Linked DNA regions of Mus musculus. The protein of the gene in region 3 interacts with the protein of the main gene of each other region in a pairwise test. Links are inferred from orthologs where the notes say so. Each region holds a gene or a part of one and is shown on either strand. Other genes may lie near its edges.

What was found.
Region 1: the proteins of Tnpo2 (region 3) and Apip interact in binary tests that used the Homo sapiens proteins (3 or more experiments, as listed by UniProt). The two-hybrid records come from large-scale screens. The link is inferred for Mus musculus from reciprocal best matches to the Homo sapiens genes TNPO2 and APIP.
Region 2: the proteins of Tnpo2 (region 3) and Camk2d interact in binary tests that used the Homo sapiens proteins (3 or more experiments, as listed by UniProt). The two-hybrid records come from large-scale screens. The link is inferred for Mus musculus from reciprocal best matches to the Homo sapiens genes TNPO2 and CAMK2D.
Region 4: the proteins of Tnpo2 (region 3) and Exoc5 interact in binary tests that used the Homo sapiens proteins (3 or more experiments, as listed by UniProt). The two-hybrid records come from large-scale screens. The link is inferred for Mus musculus from reciprocal best matches to the Homo sapiens genes TNPO2 and EXOC5.

Annotation. Positions count from the first base shown.
Region 1 is NC_000068.7:103,079,806-103,084,299, reverse strand, and holds part of Apip (methylthioribulose-1-phosphate dehydratase), read right to left. Parts: intron 1,346-4,494; coding exon 1,245-1,345; intron 1-1,244. UniProt on the Homo sapiens protein: Catalyzes the dehydration of methylthioribulose-1-phosphate (MTRu-1-P) into 2,3-diketo-5-methylthiopentyl-1-phosphate (DK-MTP-1-P).
Region 2 is NC_000069.6:126,595,232-126,600,518, reverse strand, and holds the start of Camk2d (calcium/calmodulin-dependent protein kinase type II subunit delta), read right to left. Parts: upstream 3,569-5,287; 5' UTR 3,080-3,568; coding exon 3,015-3,079; intron 1,454-3,014; coding exon 1,359-1,453; intron 1-1,358. UniProt on the Homo sapiens protein: Calcium/calmodulin-dependent protein kinase involved in the regulation of Ca(2+) homeostatis and excitation-contraction coupling (ECC) in heart by targeting ion channels, transporters and accessory proteins involved in Ca(2+) influx into the myocyte, Ca(2+) release from the sarcoplasmic reticulum (SR), SR Ca(2+) uptake and Na(+) and K(+) channel transport.
Region 3 is NC_000074.6:85,043,086-85,047,579, reverse strand, and holds part of Tnpo2 (transportin-2), read right to left. Parts: intron 3,169-4,494; coding exon 3,062-3,168; intron 2,979-3,061; coding exon 2,845-2,978; intron 2,755-2,844; coding exon 2,673-2,754; intron 2,598-2,672; coding exon 2,475-2,597; intron 2,383-2,474; coding exon 2,264-2,382; intron 460-2,263; coding exon 399-459; intron 291-398; coding exon 125-290; exon of another isoform or gene 121-124; intron 1-120. UniProt on the Homo sapiens protein: Probably functions in nuclear protein import as nuclear transport receptor. Serves as receptor for nuclear localization signals (NLS) in cargo substrates.
Region 4 is NC_000080.6:49,013,936-49,018,429, forward strand, and holds part of Exoc5 (exocyst complex component 5), read right to left. Parts: intron 3,626-4,494; coding exon 3,539-3,625; intron 2,372-3,538; coding exon 2,263-2,371; intron 1,698-2,262; coding exon 1,482-1,697; intron 415-1,481; coding exon 226-414; 3' UTR 1-225. UniProt on the Homo sapiens protein: Component of the exocyst complex involved in the docking of exocytic vesicles with fusion sites on the plasma membrane.

The DNA.
Region 1 (4,494 bases), on a different chromosome or scaffold from region 3:
TAACTTTGCTGTATATATTTTTAAAAAGCCAGAAACAAGTATTTTAGCTCAGTTTGGTAGGAGCTCTGTTATATACAAAGCCATTTTCTGCACCAGTAGAGAGAGAGAGAGCATAAAAAGCAGCCTTTAGAAATAAATCATACATCAGGGAAATTAAATTACAGACAGGCACTTGACTTCTTAGATAGGAATGAATTATTCATAGTTTCAGGTATATTGTGCATAAGGAAACCTGAGAGCTTAGGCACAGGGCAACATGGCCGTGCAGGCGATCAGGGAAGACGCTTTATCTGTACTGAGAGAATTCTTATATCCACAGCTGTCTAAGCTGTTGACTAAGTCACATTTTGCTATTTCCCACTGTTGAATTAATATTTCATGAAGGACACTGTAATTTGGAGCAGATGAAATTCCAAAGTCATTATTTTGTGGGAAGGAGTAAAATTCCTTTTGTTTAAGATGTTCTGATTTTATTTTACAACCTATTTCCTATTATAAAATGCAGATTCCTTGACGGATACATACACATACATATATGTACATGTATACACATGCATACCATGTACACATACACTCAGCATATAAATATTTTAGTGATCCAACTTTGCTAAAGAAAAAAGGTGAATTAGAATACAGAATAAAACCCCGCCTCCAGCAACAGGACTCCTACATTTCAGGGGGAAGACATCAACCCACTTCAGCAAGCCCTGGGAGAAGGAGGCTTGCTTCCTCCAGCTTACTCCTCATCTGCTTGACCACAAGACACTCACTGAACTCAGTGAGCAACAGAAAATGAGTCCTTCTGTTTTAAACCCAGTGCCTCAAAGGAGTAGATAGTAGCATTGCTGGGCCTGTTAATCATGATATCTCTGCTCAAAAACAGCACATGGCCTGTTTTGAACTTAGTAAATATGGATTTTTGAACTTAATTAGAATTTAATGATTAATAATTTCTATTTAAGTGACTTTTAAATATTTCTTTGAACTTTTGAAATAAGTCTTCAACTACTTTTCTTACCTGTGATGTTCCAGAGAGGACCAAATTATCCCAGTTAACAACTGGGAATTTATTGTGCTTGTTGCTTCTGCTCCTTGGCTCCACCAGGCTATGCAGACATCCACCGATCATTTAGAAAGTATCCGGCTTCAGTCCCGCACTAAACTGACTATCAGCTGGGTCTGGACACAGCCCTGAGGCCTGCTAAAATAAGAACTCCCACAGCTGCGATCAGCCAGGAACTTACCCATGCTTCAAGCTGATTCCCCCTCCAGTGCCGGTGACCCAGCCCAGATGGTAAAACTGTTTGCAAAGTTCTGGGATCAGGAATCGGGGGTGCTCCTTGTCCTGAAAGAGAAGATGATGATTTGCAAATGACTCTTAAAGTTGTGCACTCCAGCTGGCACTTCCTTAATCGTTAGAAATGGATTTACTTAATTGGCAGTCTGGGATTGGTCAGTACAGGGGTCCCAACTCTATGGAACTGGCTGTAAAAACAAGGCAGGGAAATGCCAGGGGTCTATGACACAGCGTCAACAGAAAGGCAGTGGAACCCAGTACTAAAAACAAACAAACAAACAAACCCCACACTTTGGGCTACACAGCTAAGTGCTTCACAGAACACCCTGCTAGAACACCATACATGACACTTCACTATCAATACATGTTCAACACAGTCTGTGTTGGGGCAGTTTCAATTTTATCTTTAAAATGTTGTTTTCCAAAGTGATTTAAATATCTTCTTATTCAATTATAATAGTGACTATGACAAACCATTAAAGTCAAGCAAATAACAATCAATAAACAAATCCTACTCAGAAGCACTTATGATCCTTTTCTACGAAGGCATTTTACGGAACCGTGTGAATAAAGGCCAGAAGGAACATCAACCCTTACTTATGTTTAGCTGCAATAACTCCCAGTTTTCCCTGCTTTTCTCTTAACAGTTTAAACTATCTAAAGCAAGCAGAGAAGAACAACGAGCTCCATTTTGGCAGTACGATATGTAGCCTTAGCTGGAAAGCAGATAATAACTGCCTAGTCAGTCATGTTCACAAATATTTCAAAAGAGGTGGCAGAAGTGGAAAGTGAACTTCGCAGGACTCCTCAGGGAAATGTCTTGGGGGCAGGGCACTCCAAAGCTGACGTTCACTTCAAGCCACCTGCAAAAAGTTCTGGGCTCTCTGGGCTTCACTCTGATAGCTGGACCAGCATCAGAACTCTGAGATAAACTCCAGACTTGTACCACACAGAAAACCTCCAAATAAACTCAAGACTCGGTGGGCTGCAGTCTCAGCAAACAAGAAACCCTTGCTACGGAGAAAAGCACAGGAAATAACTGACTATGGACGGCGGCCCTGGGTAAAGGGGAAAACCATTCCCGAGTCCAGAGGAAAACCATTATTTCAACAGACTGGGCAGCTAAAATTGTGTTTCCCAATATTTATTTACTTGTCATTCTCTGGTTTATTCTCTCTCTCTCTCTCTCTCTCTCTCTCCCATCCTCTCTCTTCTTTCCTCTGTGTTTGAGTATGCATGTATGTATGTATGCATGCATGCATATAGATAAATACTTTTGGTGGTATGAATGATAATTTGATGAAGTAGCCTTCAAAATAAAAAATTCAGAGTATGAGAAAAAGTCAGGCTTTTGTAAAAATCAGCACAGGTTTAGGAGTTAGCAAAGAAGGTCAAACTACACAATATCTAATTCACCATTTACACGATGCTGAGTGTGCTGGCTAGTTTTACATCAACTTGACACAGGCTAGAGTCATCTTGGAAGAGGGAACCTCAAATGAGAAATTGACCCCACCTGTCGCCTGTGAATAATCACGCCTGTGGTGCATTTTCTTGATTGATGATTGATGTGGGCCCAGCTCACCTTGGGCGGTGCTGGCCCTGGGCTGGCGGTTCTGGGTTATATAAGCCACAAGGAGAAAAGCAGTAAGCAGCACTCCCCCATAGCCTCTGCTTCAGATCCTGCCTCCAGCTGGCTTCTTGCCTTGTACTCCCGCCCTGACTTCTCTGGATGATGGACTATAAGTTGTAGGCTGAAATTAACCCTTTCCTCCCCGTGGTGCTTTGCTCAGTGTTCTATCACAGCAACAGAAATCTTAACTAAGACACTGAGCCCCACTTTTACTCAACCATGAAATAAGCACACTTTGAGGAATAAAGTGAGATGAAATGAAGATAAAACACACAGCACAAAGCTAAAGAGATGGCTCGGCAGCTAAGAGCATGTCCTGTTCTCGGGAGAACCAGAGTTCAGTTCCCACCACTCACATCAAGTGATTCACTATCTATAGCTCCATCTCCAGGCTGAACTGAAGCCTCTGGTCTTCTTAGGCACCTGCATGTGCACATATCTATCTACCAACACACACACACACACACACACACACACACACACACACAAACACACACAGAGACACAGAGAGATACACACACAATATAACATAAAAGTTGGGGCTGGAGAGATGGTTCAGAGGTTAAGGTCCGTACTGTCTTGCAGAAGCTTGGAGTTCAGTTCCTAGCACCCATGTCAGTCAGCTCACAATCAATGTTACTCCAGCTCCAGAGGAGCCAACATCTCTGCCGGGGAGTCCTTGGGCATTTACACTCATGTGCATATATCACACAAAGTTGAGCACATATATACATATTTAAAAATAAAATTTAAAAGTCTCTACAGTAAAAGCACTCCACAGAAAACCATGTGACATAATATGAACTTCCTTACACTTTAAAGAGTTAAAGTTCTTGAACACAAATTAATTACTTAAAAGTTAATAATAAAATGGATTTCTTTACTCTTCTCAAGGAATCTAGCCAAAAAAATTCTATGCCCCATATAATTTGCTATTTCCTTTTTGGGGAACATAAATGATATTTTAATTACATATTAAATACAACTAATGGGGAGACTCCTGCAGTGTTCCAATCATTAAGACCAAATTTGCGCAACAAATTGCAAACATTACCGAAAATGGTCTATTATTATAGATCCCCCTCTCCTTTTGTCTTTCCCCAGTATTGAGGTATTAGAGCCATTAGCCAGCTCCCTGCTACAGCACACCAATGGCGGGCAGTGCTGCTATTGTCCTCCTCAGCCACTCAGATCAGGAAGATACCATTACAGGGAAGTAACGGAGCCCTGGCAGCCACACATCTGCTGACTTTCAGGTGCAGCCATTTAACCTGTGCGGCCCAAGAGTGTGAACGTGGAAATGTTACCTTTGGAACGGACAGAAAGGGAGAGCTTACTGTCTATTGCACCCCTGGATGCCAATGGTGCCTTTCAGCTGTTGTTAGAGTTGGCTCTCAGTGAGCGTAACACCTATATAGCATGAAGCTAAAGAATCACAATGAATAGAAGAGACGCTATGGTATGGCAGAAACAGACGCAGTGACATTCAGAATATATTAGACATGAAAGTGTGAATAGCTTTCATCCCACTTTGAAGACATTTCACTTTTGTGCCACAGAAATG
Region 2 (5,287 bases), on a different chromosome or scaffold from region 3:
CACACTGGAAGAAATAACATAATCACTAGAAGAAAGAAAAAAAACCCGACTCAATGTTTTCAGTCTTCTTCTTTCCCTTAAACTGGCACTTATACTTCTGCATCCCTCGTGATTCTAAAAAAATAAAAACTTCCAATAGAGTGGAGGCTCGAAAGGGAGAGGTAATTAGCATGGCATGTCCCTCATTAGTTTTCACACCAGGACACCATGGTGTTCCTGGTCAGTTTGCATTCTTTCTCAGAACAAGAGCAAATCAGATGACGGGAAGTATCGTGGAATTCCATCCGAGTGAATACATAGACTGAAACCTAAAGTATATCGTAAAAGGAGAATCCGAAAATCCATTTGTCAGAGCCGAGGACAAAGGCAACGAACGATACCCAGACGTCTTTAAGTGGCATGTCTTAAAAGATGTATTCAGTGAGGAAAACTAAGTCTAATGGAATTTCCTCTCATTACTTAAAATAAACCAGGTCACTGAGATGGGGCTGCATTATGGGATTCTGTTCTTTTTGATTCCAGCTTCATTTCATCACACCATGAATTCCCTTGGAAATCCGTAGGCACCTTAGTCACTGTAACTCCGGCATTTCAGTATATGGACTTTTGTTTGATTCTAATCACCATCATCACCATCACCATCATCACCATCATCACCATCATCATCATGTGGGCACACTGCTCCCAGTTGTTTTTGTTTTTTGTTTATTTTTTTTTAAACTTATGTCAAGAGCTCTCAGGATGAAGTATCTTTGTGGCTATAAGCTAAAGGTGTAAAATATATTGCATGATCTGATGGAAAGTTTCATGCAGAAAACCCAGAAAAGGCCTAGCCTACACATATCAAAGCCAAGCTAACTTCCTAGATTACAGTAAAAATCTCTTCCTACTTCCCCAAACCACTGAAGTTAAATATACCTCGCTGTATTAAGTTCAGCTGTAACTACAACTGTAACATACATTCAACTGAACCATGACCCATTTTTTTTTTTTGTCTCAGAAGTGAAAGGGGAATTATGACAGTTATGAGACTTGCATTTTTTCCATTTCAAGATCCTTCTGAACAGATTTCAGCAAGGCCCCTCATGACATTTATTTGCTTTGCAACATATTTATCTATACCATTGCTTAGGAGACAGCATTTTAATAACTCGCTGATAACAATTATATTTTTCACCTACTTTTCAAAGGAAACAAAGCAAGAGGCTTTTGGCAAGGAAAAATGGTAATATGTAATATGATACCTAAGTCCAAAATTCAATTATAACTACATGCTATAACTACTTAGAAGACACCAACCATTCACACAACAAATACAACATTAACATATATAAATAAATGTGGTTTAAAATACCCACCCCTAGCAGAAAGCTTTTTGGTGTTGATAATTTTGGCAGCATACTCTTGTCCAGTAGGGATTTTCATACATCTTCTCACCACTGAGAACGCCCCCCTGGAAACCAATAATTAGCAAGTCGTCAGTATAATCAGATCTAGTATCCACTTGCAAACTCACAAATCTGAGCGGTTTCATGAACCTTTAGTGGTCTGTCAAATAGCAACATAATAAAAGCATTATCTAGAAAATAAACAATTCTTTCCTGCCAGCCCAGATCTTTTTTAATGTTGTGGAATGAAAGTCGTTTTTAATTGACTGGAAACACGCAGATTATTAATCAACAAAATAGAAGGTAATGCCAATTATGACCACTCTTTTTTGCACATGAAATTTGAAAACAATTTGTAATTCACACTCACAAAACACCAAATGCTCATAGCAAACCCTGCAAAGGACCGAGCTGGGGAACAGAAGAAAAAAAAAAAAAAACTGTTTATTTCGGTAGGAAACATAATTAACGTGGTTCCAACTAAGTAAATATGGCGATTGTTTTCATTAAAACATAAATCTCGAGCTCACTGGTGTGCTTTAACAGGTTCTGGGGTAAGGTGATTTCTCTCTGCCTGGTTTGGGCTTGGGGGGAGGGGAGAGATTTAAATTAAGCTGCTCTTCCGACATACTCCATGTTTCAACAGCAGATCATCTATAAAGATATCATTTTCATTTGATTTAAAAGTGCTCACACTTCCTTTTATGCAACTGTAAGGAAACCTACAGCACACACACACACACACACACAAATGCATCCCTTCCCTGATAGTGGAAATTAGCGATAGGTTTGGGGTTTGATGCTCGGTAAACCAACACTCCCTCCTGACTGAGTCTCTAGTTGCCCCTGTGCAGATCTTCAGTAGGTACCCTGTCCCTCCTTAACATCTCAAGGAAGTCCTGCCACTTCAGTGGAGGAGGTCGTTTTACACAAGCTAGGCTACCCTGGGGAAACGCTCTCTCGGGCTCTAGGGCTTTCCTCTGCCTGGATAAATAAATCCTCTCAGAGACGATGTACACCTAAATCCTAGAATGATGGTGAGCGACTCATCTTAGTGCAAAGAAGGATAGCGGATACATGGCAGGGACGTGGGTTCTGTTGGGTGGCCCTTTTCCTGAACGGAACAACTACTTGGATGCCGAACCAGACTCTCCACCAAGCCAAGTTGAACTTTCGGCATCGATAAATATGGCACCATCTCAGAGAGCGAGTGTTCTCTCGTTAGCTCATCCGAACCTGGGTCAGATCGCAGATACAGCGCGGGCTGAGCAAGAGACATCTATTTACCAAAAATGTGATAAATGTTGCATTTTACATGCATCTCCTTTCCTCTCCGAACACACATACACACACATTCGCACTCGCGTGCGCGCACACTTCTCAGGATGACAGCTACAACTGCAGAGATCATAAATTCACTAAGTCCCCCGTGGAGAGGTGGAGGACCCGAGAAGATGGGCTGGGAATTCGGAGCACCCGCCACAGTAGGGCAAAGGTTTCCTTCCCTGTGTGCCCCACCCGCACCAAGCCAGGGTCCGTCTCCCCGCCTCGGCCCGCAGGCTCTCTATCCCCACGAGGGAGACGAGGGGTCGTGGGGAGGAGGAGATGCCAGGCAGGGACGCTTACTTTCCGAGCTCCTCAAAGAGCTGATACTCGTCGGTGAACCGGGTGCAGGTGGTGGTCGAAGCCATGGCGGGGTCTGGACAGTGCGACGGGCGACACGCGAACAGACCTGGCTTCCCGGGACTGGCGCCGCCGCGCTGTCACCCGGGGCCGCCCTCACTTTCCGTGTCCGAAAGTAGCTCGCCGGCGAGGGAGTGCGCGCAGGGGCGGGGCGCGCGGGGCGAGGTGGCCAGACCAGCCCGCTCCGCGATCCCTTGTCCTCTCCTCCTCCCGCCGCGGTGGCCGGGCCGAGGGCTCCCGAAGGGGCGGGGGAGAGGTGTCAGGAGGGGTTGCCGCGGTCACCGAGGCCGCACGGAGAGCTCAACGCAGCGCCCGGAGTGGCGGGCGGCAGCGGCCGAGTGAACACCCAGCCGGTCGTTCCAGCGGGCAGAGGAGGCGCTGGTGGCCCGCGCTCCCTCCTCTCCACGGGGCCGCAAGGCTGGGAACCCGCGGGGCGACAGAGTGCGCTCGCTCGGCTCGGGCGAAGCTGGCAGCCGCGGCTCCTCCCCGGCGCCTCCTCCCTCCTCTCCCCGCCCAGCGAAGCCCCCTCCTCGGCGGCCCCACACCTCCCTCTAGCGACTCCAGCCGCGTCCCTTCGGGCTGCTCTCCCGCAGCCGTCTAGGGAGACCGAAGGGAGATGCGCGGAGCAGCAGGGAGCGCGCTTAAGGGGACGGGACTGAGATGTCGCAGTGACCCACGAAGGGCGGAAAGATGAGAGACCACTCGAAGCTCCCACAACCCGGATGCCTCTACCCGGGCGGGATGGCCGCGAGGCCGGGGAAGCCGAGAGAGGGAAGCAACCCTTGCATCTGGGCGCGGTTCGCGTTTACTGCTCCCAGACCCGGGTCCAACGTCCCCCGGCTCGCAGCTACTGCCTGGGGCTGCCAGCCTTGGCCACCTCTGCTGCGCCCGGCTGTCCCTTAGCTAGGGGCAAAGATGGTCAGGGCACCACGTTTCGCTTCAGTTTTTACTGTCACGTCTTCGCCCTTCTCTCCCCTTTTCCCGACTAGGGCGATCCCCATAAGCATTTGCTTGATCATAAACTCTAACATAATGAAACCCAAAAGTGCACCACTCTGCCACACCTTCCTTCCTCTCCAGAGTAACTCCCCTGTAACCTCAGCAAGTTCTGATAGTAAGAAGGCTTCTCGCGAGATGTCCCACGCCAGTGGCGAGGGGGTGGGGCGGTAGGAAGGTTGGCTGTGGGTCACGCGACCCAGAGGGGGCTGACGTCATTAGCGTCACGTGAGCGTGCCTAGCCTGTTTCGCGTTGCCGAGGGAGAAGGGAGAGGGAGGGTGGGAGTTCTTTACCTGCATTCTCAAAGAGCAGGCCAAGTAGGGGCACAGGAGTGTACTCCCTCAGTGGCTATCTGGAAAACCATTTAAGAGTTCAAGAACGTGTGTACAGTTAAGCATATCTGACACTGTTGCTTAAAAATTAGCATGGAGAAAAAAAATTAGCATGTAAGATGGGTTAAGGTGTAAGTGGTGGCTAAGATCATTTCTGAGCCTTCTTTTCACTTCTGAGTCTTTAATAAACGAGGCAATTGCAGATTTAGAGGCCTACGGAAAATAGAGACGCATCATGAACTTTTAAAAAATTTTCTTCAGACTGTTGCTTTTTGTTCTACAGCAGGAAACCATAAAATCCTGCATTTCTATTGCTTATGTGCTCGTGCTTAGAATCACATCGTGCACTTAAAATTTCACAGTGGGAAGATGATAGATAACTTTCAGTTAGGGAGCCTGTACATGCTTTTAGGGCGGCTATAAGTTACTACTTTGCAGGTTCTTTTATTCCCTGTTCTAAAGAATGCTGAGTGGCCTTTGAACTGAAGTACTCAGACGGCCATATAATTTTTAAATGCTTTTTTTTGTTATAGATTTTGCAAATATTACTCATACTTCTAATAGCCCTCTCCCACTCAACACAAGAAAATACTTTTTGAATTTAGTCATCATTCAATGTCTGCATTGTTTTGCCCATGAAAATGTCATTTACTGGCCTGTTTTACTATAATTTTCCCTTCAATTTTACTTACATCATTTGATATTCTGCCCACGCACTAGATTCCTAGTGCTGATTTTTGACGTTGCCAAGCACGTGGGATCAGCACACGTCCCGCTTTGTCTTGTATTGTTCCTACCTGGGGGCCTCTGCTGTTCAGTTGTCATTGTGGGACACCCTTGGAAGCTTATTGAAGTTCCTCTGTGGTTTTTATATAGCTTTGATTCCT
Region 3 (4,494 bases):
AAGGGGACAAGGAGGCTAAGCTTAGGGAGGACTGTGGGGCAGGTATTCAGCCCTGAGACCAGTTCTTCATAAAGTGCTCCCCACCCGCTTCTCCCCCTCCCCCAGGAGCCAGCCTACTACCTACTCAGATTCCAGTCCGACAAAGCGTCGTCATCATCGTCGTCCTCAGCATCCTCAGAGCTATCAGGCCGCTCAGCCTCGTGAGTCAATGTCACTGTGCGTGACTTGTGGAACCGGGGCTTGATGTCCTGCTCACTGTCAGGTACCGCCTCGTCCTCCTCCACATCCCCCTAGGGACCAGCCCAGGCATATTTCTCTCAGCACTGGCTGGAGACCTCCAACCCAATACCCAATGGTCTTGGCCACCCACAGTCAGCTGTGGATGCCCCTTGGCTGACCTTAAGAAGGATGATGTCAATTTCAGAGTACTTCATCCCATTCACGAGGATAGGGATCAACCTATTGGGAAAGAGACTGGTTGTAAGGATGCAGGGACTCTGGCTAGGTACCCATCTTGAAAAGAAAGCAGAGGTGTGAATAGGAGTACGGAGCAAGTGGCAGACTATGCTCAACACACCCATATTCCTCTGTCCTGTTTCTGTTCACTTCCCTTCAGGGAATGAGCAACATATTTTCAGCCATGAGTAGGAGACACAGTTTTCTCCCTCTTTTGAAACGGTCTGTGAAGCCATGACTGGCCTAGAAATCATACACCTTCTTGAGGCTGGAGAGATAGCTCAGCAGTCACGATCATGACTTGCTCTAACTCCAGCCCCAAGGAACACAATACCTTCCTTTGGCCTCTGTGGGCATTGCACACATGTGGTACAGGCATACATACATGCAAGCAAAATACTGATTTAAAAGTAATAGTAAATAATAACAAAAATGTTTAAAAAATAAAAAGAACATGATCTTTTTGCCTCAACCTCCAATACTGTGATTACAAGTGTTTACTGCCACATCCAGCTGCCCCATCTATCACTCAGCGACAAGTAGCACCACACAGCCTCTTGACCCAAACATGAATGCACACATGAATGCCAGAACCCTGAAGACCTTCAGCAATGCTGTTCCCTAGCACTACACAAAACACAAACATCTGACCCATTGTTCAGACCCTGCAAACAAAGCTGCCGGGCAGGCTGCTGGCAGAAACAGTAGAGAGCATGGTTGCACACAGCTTTAAACACAAAAACTGATACAGCTGGCGAGATGGCTCAGCGGTTAAGAGCACTGACTTAACCTGAGTTCAAATCCCAGCAACCACATGGTGGCTCACAACCACCCATAATGAGACCTGATGCCCTCTTCTGATGCATCTGAAGACAGCTACAGTGTACTAATGAATAATAAATAAATCTTAAAAGAAAAAAAAAAAAGAAAAAGAAAAAGAAAACTGATACAACCTTCCTGTCCCTGTTTGCAAGAGTCTCAATCCTCCTCAAAGTCCTCTGTCCCTCTAGCCACAACTCCTACTTGCTATCAATAATCTGAGATAGCCAAGTGATCCAAAATGGTCAACACAAGGGGGCTCAAACCAGTCATGGTGCCACATGCCTCTAACCCTAGCACTTAAGTTCTAGGCCCACTTGTCTCAAAAACCCAAAAAGTAAGCTCTTGTTAAAGTACCACCCAAGAGACTCTGAACTCCTAAACTGAAGAACACCAGAGCCTACAGTCGTAGGCACAGCCTTTAACCCCAGCACTCCGGAGGCAGAGGCAGGATCCCTTTAAATTCTAAGCCAGCCTAGTTTACCGAGCGAGTTCCAGGACAGCCATGGCTATACTACATGGAGAAACCCTGACTCAAAATCAGAAAGAAAAAAGCAAGCCAGAGCTACAGCATCGCTTATCCAGGAGGGCCGTGCCTGGAATTAACGTAGATGCCATTCTCTTAAGCATCTCGAGCAGCCATGATGAAGCCTTCATCTGCTTAAGGGTTGTTTCTTCTCTTTTTGTCTTCTAGCTGTTCTTAGAGACAGGGTCTCATTATGTAACCCAGGCTGGCCTGGAACTCGTTACACAGCATTTGTGGCTATAATCCAAGCTTAGCCTCCTAAGTGACATGCATGAGCCACCACACTTGGTTTCTGTTACCTAATTTTTAAAGTCATTAAGGTTACACCCCATAAAAATCAGTGTACACAGGATTCAAAGAAAACTGACTTAAACCACATAAGATACAGTAAGCAAAGCATCCAGGAGAAGGGACAGGTCCAGGGAGGACTAGAGGCTGAGGGCATGGGGTATGAGTACTCACTGGACCAGATGAGAGGCCAGGACTTCCTTGCAGATGGGCTGCTCGGCTAGCGTCAGCCAGAACTCACAGGCCTCCAGGGCCACGTTCTCATCATGGTCCTGGGTCCTCTGCAGCATGTACTGGGCAACAGAGAGAGGCTGAGACCTAGCTCAACTGCGGGGGATTCCCCATCCCAAGCCACCCACTAGCCCTTGGTATTGAGCATTCGCACCTGGATGATGCTGTGCATGTGAGGGATGAGCCTGTCAATTCGCACTTCCAAAAGCATCACAAGGGCCCGGCACACGTTCTTTCTCACCTCAGGGTCATCATCCACAGCCAAGGCAAACAGGTGCTGTGTAAAAGGGAAAGGTCAGCTGCCTGAGGACCCCTTAGCCTCACCCTATCCACCTGGAGCCTGGTGACCCACCTCAATGAAAGTGTCAATGTTGTCCATCAGCGCTTGGGCCCGGTCCATGATGAACTGGTTCACACAGGCGATGGCGTGGGACCTAGTAGGCAGTGAAGGCAAGGCTCACATATGAACTCCTGCGTCTGCCTACCAACTCTAAGACCATTCTGCTCTGAGGAACATCACGTACCGGATCTTAGGGCTGCAGTGCTTGAAAAACTGCAGGAATTTAGGGATCATGATGTTGAGGGGCCTGTTGAGAGCATCACTATCCAAAAGCTCCGAGGAGTCTTCACAGATCTTCTGTAGGGCTCCAAAGGCTCCCTAAGCAGAGAGATGGATGGCTGTGAGCCGACTCTAAGCTGTAGTCCCTGCTTGGGTCAGGCCAGGTACTGCCCATCACCTACCTCACAGGTATTATAATCCTCTGAGTTGAGCAGGTTGCACAGCTGAGGCAGCAGCTCTGGCCACATCTGCAGCTCACCCTTGGAAGCGATGGTGGTGATGAGAATGCCTGGGGCAGCCAGGGAGAGGAGGCCAGTCAGGCTGAGCAAGGGTCTACTGGTCCCTCAACCATCCCCACCAAGGGACTGGCTCACCAGCTTTCTTTCCTCTCCCATGCATGTTCTGCATGGCACCCTGAGCCTCTCTTTGGGGTGCTGGGGACAAAACCCAGGCCTCATGAATGCCAAGTACGCACTCCATTGTAGAGTGACAGGCCCTCTTCAAGTCGTCCTTGCCTATTCTGCACATAGCCTCACTACGAGACAACTGTTCCAGGTTATAGGAATCCGCCCCAAATCACTGCTTTTACAAGTGGAGAGGGGTATGAAGTGAAGATGCATAAGCTCAAGATGTGGGTAGCCACAAGGCAAGCCCTCAGGAGAGTAAATTGTCTTTCAAGTACTTTTATTTCATAGTACAAAAGACTGAACTCAGGGCCCTATGCGCGGTGGGCAAGCATTCTCCTGTTGAACTAAATCCCCGGCCCTATTTTGTTGTTGTTGTTGCTTTCCTAACCTTTTGAGTTAAGGCCCCAAGGCAAGACCTGAACATGCAGATCTTGTCTCAGGTTCCTAAGTAGCTGGGATCACAGCCACTTGGACCAGCTAAACAGGGCGTGGCCTCCAGTTACCTGGAGCAAAGATTCTTGGCTAGAGGTATTGCAGTCCTGGTGTAGTAACAGAAGAAAGGCCAGAGTGGGGAAGCAGGCAGTGAGAAGGACGGTGATGGGGATCAAATAACCAAGTCCTGAAAGCCTCTGTATCGGGAGAGGGGATGCTACTGACAATTAGAGATATGAGGGTGGGGCCTAGGGAGATGGCTCAGTTGGTAAGAGTGCTTTGCTCGACCAGTATGAAGACCTGAGTTCAGTTCCCAGTACATACATAAAAAGACAGGTGTAGTGGTACACCTGTAATGACAGTAATCAGTTGAGATCTCAGGACTTGCTGGCTACCAGCCTAGCTCCAGATCCTTTGAGTAAAAGAACAGAGTATCTGATATCCTCTGTTGGCCCATGTCTATGTATATGGGTGTGCACACCTGTCTACTACATGAATGTGAGTATGTGCAAGCTCATATGCAGAACATCAGGGAATGTTTGCTTAAGTAAGCAAGTATATGGACATTGGAACTAATGCTCACATTACAATAAATTGGTTTGGAATAATGAAATCCACAGTATCTTCATCTGAGGCCTGAGGGCAATGGAGCCACCCGGCAGAACTCGACATTGTGGCCAATGCACACACCACTCATTAATAAAGGATGGCAGGGAGGGCAGAAGCTGCCACTGACAACTCTCAGGTGATGCCAACCCCCGAAAGTGAAGCCTTTC
Region 4 (4,494 bases), on a different chromosome or scaffold from region 3:
AATTTGAAATTTATAAATTAAAGTATAGAATTCAACATAACAGGGAAAAGATAAAAATACAGCTAGAGGTGTCCAAATTTCAAACAAAATTCCAGGTAAGTATGGCTGCTGCTTTCTTCCAGTCATTTTTTCCCATAAAATATTGGCGGTGTCATAAGGAATCTCCTGTGCTTCCCATTACCGAGGCCTTCTGAGAAAACAATCCATTGCCTTTGTAAATTCAGCTCAGCTGAAGTGTCGCGCCAGGCGGGCAGATCTATAGTCAGCACGAAGTTGTACAAAGGAGTGGAGTATGTTCTTGTCCAGATTGGCAAGTTGTTCTCCCGAGCAGACTTGTTTTAAATTATCTGGAGCCACGACCAGGAGATTGCAAAGTGCATGCAGAGTATCAAAAAGATGTAATACCATTGGAATCTGAATGGAGAGAGGGAAGGAAGCACTGAACCACAGCAGTTTATTTTCCTATGCGCTCTGCAAAGTCTTCTCACATCTTGCTAGTCAGAACTTAATAACATGGGGAAGTTGCCTCCTATGTTAGAATTTCTTAAAGCTTCTGAAGAGCTAAAACTCAAAGGTTTCCATAGCTAAAAGTTTTAACCATTAAAAAGATTCATATTGGGCTAGAGAGAGATGGCTCAGTGATTAAGAGCAATGACTGCTCTTCTGAAGGTCCTGAGTTCAATTCCCAGCAACCACATGGTGGCTCACAACCATCCGTAATGAGATCTGACACCCTCTTCTGGTGTCTGAAGACAGCTACCGTGTACTTACACATAATAAGTAAATAAATCTTTGGGCCGGAGAAAGCGGGGCTGAAGCGAGTTCAATTCCCAGCAACCACATGATGGCTCAGAAACATCTGTACAGCTACAGTGTACTCATATACATAAAATAAATAAATCTTTAAACAAAAGATTCATATTACTCAGTTTTTCAATAATTTGTAACTTGGTACACTAGAACTAATTATCTTTAGTATAACACCTTTAAAAATAATTTAAACAAGCTGGGCGTGGTGGCGCACACCTTTAATTCTAGCACTCGGGAGGCAGAGGCAGGCAGATTTCTGAGTTCAAGGCCAGCCTGGTCTACAGAATGAGTTCCAGGACAGCCAGAGCTACACAGAGAAACCCTGTCTTGAAAAACCTAAATAAATAAATAATAATAATTTAATCATTAGGGAAAACTGATTTTCGATAAACATACATGAAAAAGGAGTATCATTTTCCTAATGTGTGACATAAACATCATCCATCATGGATGTTAAAAGGACTATCTCGATGGAATGTGCTGAAATATGACCTTATCTAAAATGAAGTCCCAACTGGAAAAATGTTCATATTGAGATGTAACTGGTAGACTATATTAAAGCTGTCTCTTAATGCTGCCAGCGAAATCACACATTTCCAGTACAGGCTTTTAATGGTACAGCTTCTGTTTCTGAGCTTACTTGCAAGCGTAACTAATTTGTTTATATGTACCTTGAAGTCTTTGGCACATTTTCTATACTCAGCCACGTCGCAAATTGCAAGCATGCCACCCATACAACTATAGGAATATTGTTGAAGATGTTCATAAATAAGCCGATGAAAACGTACTCCAAGTTCCATCAGAACTGTGTCCACATTCTTCCCATCCATGGAATTTTTAATCTTCTCAACTTGTTTTCTTACATAAACACAAACTTTTACACATGCCTGTAAAAGTTTTTCTACAGTTATTACACAGATATGTAAATACAGTTTTCCAACTTCTAAGTATAAGAAAAACAACACTTAAAGCACAACTATGTTGAAGGATATTTGATCACACTGTGAACCCTAAGACCGTGAACTGGAAAAATCTGTTTCATATCGTGGTGTGGCTCAGCCCTAGCACACACCTTTAACCCAAGGGCTTTCTGTTTACTATTAAACAAGTAGTTGTGGTGTAGCTCATTCCCAGCAATCACCTTAACTCTAAGAATTCTTTGTAAATAAGAGCTAAATAAATAAAGTCAACAATAGGTCGAGAGGTGGAGCACCAACCACTTGATAGGGAGTGAACACAAGGAAGCAGGAACGGTGTTTAGACAGTGGAGAATGAGGGCTTTTGCAGCTGAGGATGGAGGGCAGCTGGGTGCTTCCTGTGCTTCTCTGAGCTAGCAGGGTCTTCATTTGGTAAAACTGAACATTAGGTATTTTGTTTTTAAAAACAGCACAACAGGTGCACTAATGCGTGTACAAGAATGAAGAAAGAAGATAATATATTAGTTCCACTCACATTAGTATACTGAATCAAAACATTGTTCTCATCTTCTGGCTTAAAATCTGTTTTCTTTTGTTCTGCAGCCAAGATATGCTTCATCTGTCCAATCATACAATTTAATGTCCTAAAGATTGAGAACACAACATATATGACTCACTTAACTCGCTCAATTTTACCTACGGATTATACGGAATTAAGTTAAATTATTTAATTGCCTATCATCACAAAACCACTTTGGAATTGACAAACTAGATTTTGGGGGGAAAAGGTCATTCTGTGACTTGATATCAACTTGATATTCTGGTTTTATCATCTTTCTCCTTAGAAAAGATCTTATAACCTAGCACTAATCATTTCCTTCACATCTAAGGATCTTCTCAGGCAAACCCGTGCATAGGGAATACTTAGGAAAGTGGAAGGATAAACGGCTCAAAGAGAACGGCTGTGGAAGCTGGCACATTCAATCCCACAGTCAACAGGCAATCAGGAAGACAGTACTGAGATTCTAGCTGACAATAAAGGCACTGGTTAAAAAGTACCAATAATATCTAACCTATGTGATTCCTCAATAGTGAGCAATCACTCAGCTTATGCAAATAAAAAGACTACACTAATTTAGAGTTAAGGGGCTGCAAGACAGAGTAGTCAAAAGATAAGTTTCATGTTAAATTAAAGAGACGGATCACATAATTAAGCACAACAATAATGAGGTCAAGTTACAAAATGACAGTAGGCCAACATAAGATGGTGGGATGTAGTGAATCCTTCACATCTGTGAGCTCTACTACTTTTCAATCAGTGTAAGAACATCATATTCTCAAAACAGAAACCTGGAAAGTAATTATCTTCAGTCAAAGTTTTAAAATTCATTTAACATAAGTTACATTTACAAAATCAGTACAATTACTACAAAACTTCATAGATAAGGCTGAAGCCACTAAGTGGAAATATAGTCCTAAATACTACAAGTCTTTGTTGGTTCAGCAGCACTGATAAGTGCAGGGCTTCCCACATGCTAGCAATACTCTACCCCTGGTCTATATCCCCAGCTTGGCATCTCTGTTTTTAAAGGAATTTGTAGCCTGTACATGTTTGATGCAAATGAGTGGGGCTTAAAATATGAATTTGATTTGAAATATATTTAAACATACTGATTTCCAGGGGGGGAAAATTCTCTTATAGATGAGAACAGTACATTAAAGAATCAACTCTAAAAACTCTGTTCATGCTGCTATGCAAATGTGATTCTACAAGTTTTAAAAAAGCAGGAGATAAAAAACAGTTAACTTACCTATCAATGCCAGTATCCAATTTCATCTCCATCTGCTCAATTATCTCTTTTTTCTTCTGGAGGCATTCAGATAACTTAGGAGAAGAGCTATTGTTTATTACAAAGGGGGAAAAAACAAACAAACCCTCCCATTAGTAGCCCATTTGACAAGTTTATAATTTATATATTGTGTATTCATATTTGTAAATAATACTAACACCTGTTATTTTCATTTGCTCATAAATCCAATAATTACAAAATAAATCATTGCTTGCAATTATATATATTAATATATTCTATTCATTCAAACTAGAAAAATTAACCCATTAAAAACCAAGAAAAGACAGACATATTATTCTGATCTCTAAGGAAATAGCACTTGACATAATCATGCAGCTTTGAATTTGAAACTAGTTTCCTGTGTATCTAAATATCTGATAGAATAGTAATAAAAGTCACGGGTATCACCAGACTCTTACAAATATAATAAATCCAACTAATAATATGGACAGTAGAAAGTAAATTCAGTTACATTTAACTTTTTAAAATAAAACACACAAAACCTTCCAAATACTATTAAAATGTCCAAAAGCCTCAAAATATTAAAGAATAAACAACACTAAAACTCCTATGACTCTATGTTATGCGGCATAATAGTTCTTTTAAAAAGTAAATTAATAAGAACTAGCTAGGCTTGGTGGCTCATGTCTGTAATACCCACCTGAGTTACACAGAAAAACAGTAAACTTCCTTTCAAAGTCTGATTTGGGAATCACAAATGATCTTTGAACTTGTTTCTGGTCTAGACATGGCATAATACTGTTTATAAAGTCTATCAAACTCATTTATCTCAACATTTCTTGCATAGATAACAGTGCTAAGAAAACAACTTCGTGAAATATGTTCATATGTATATAATTCTAATTTTCAAATGCCTTAAAAGTCCATATAAATTGATATGAAATATGATCCAAATC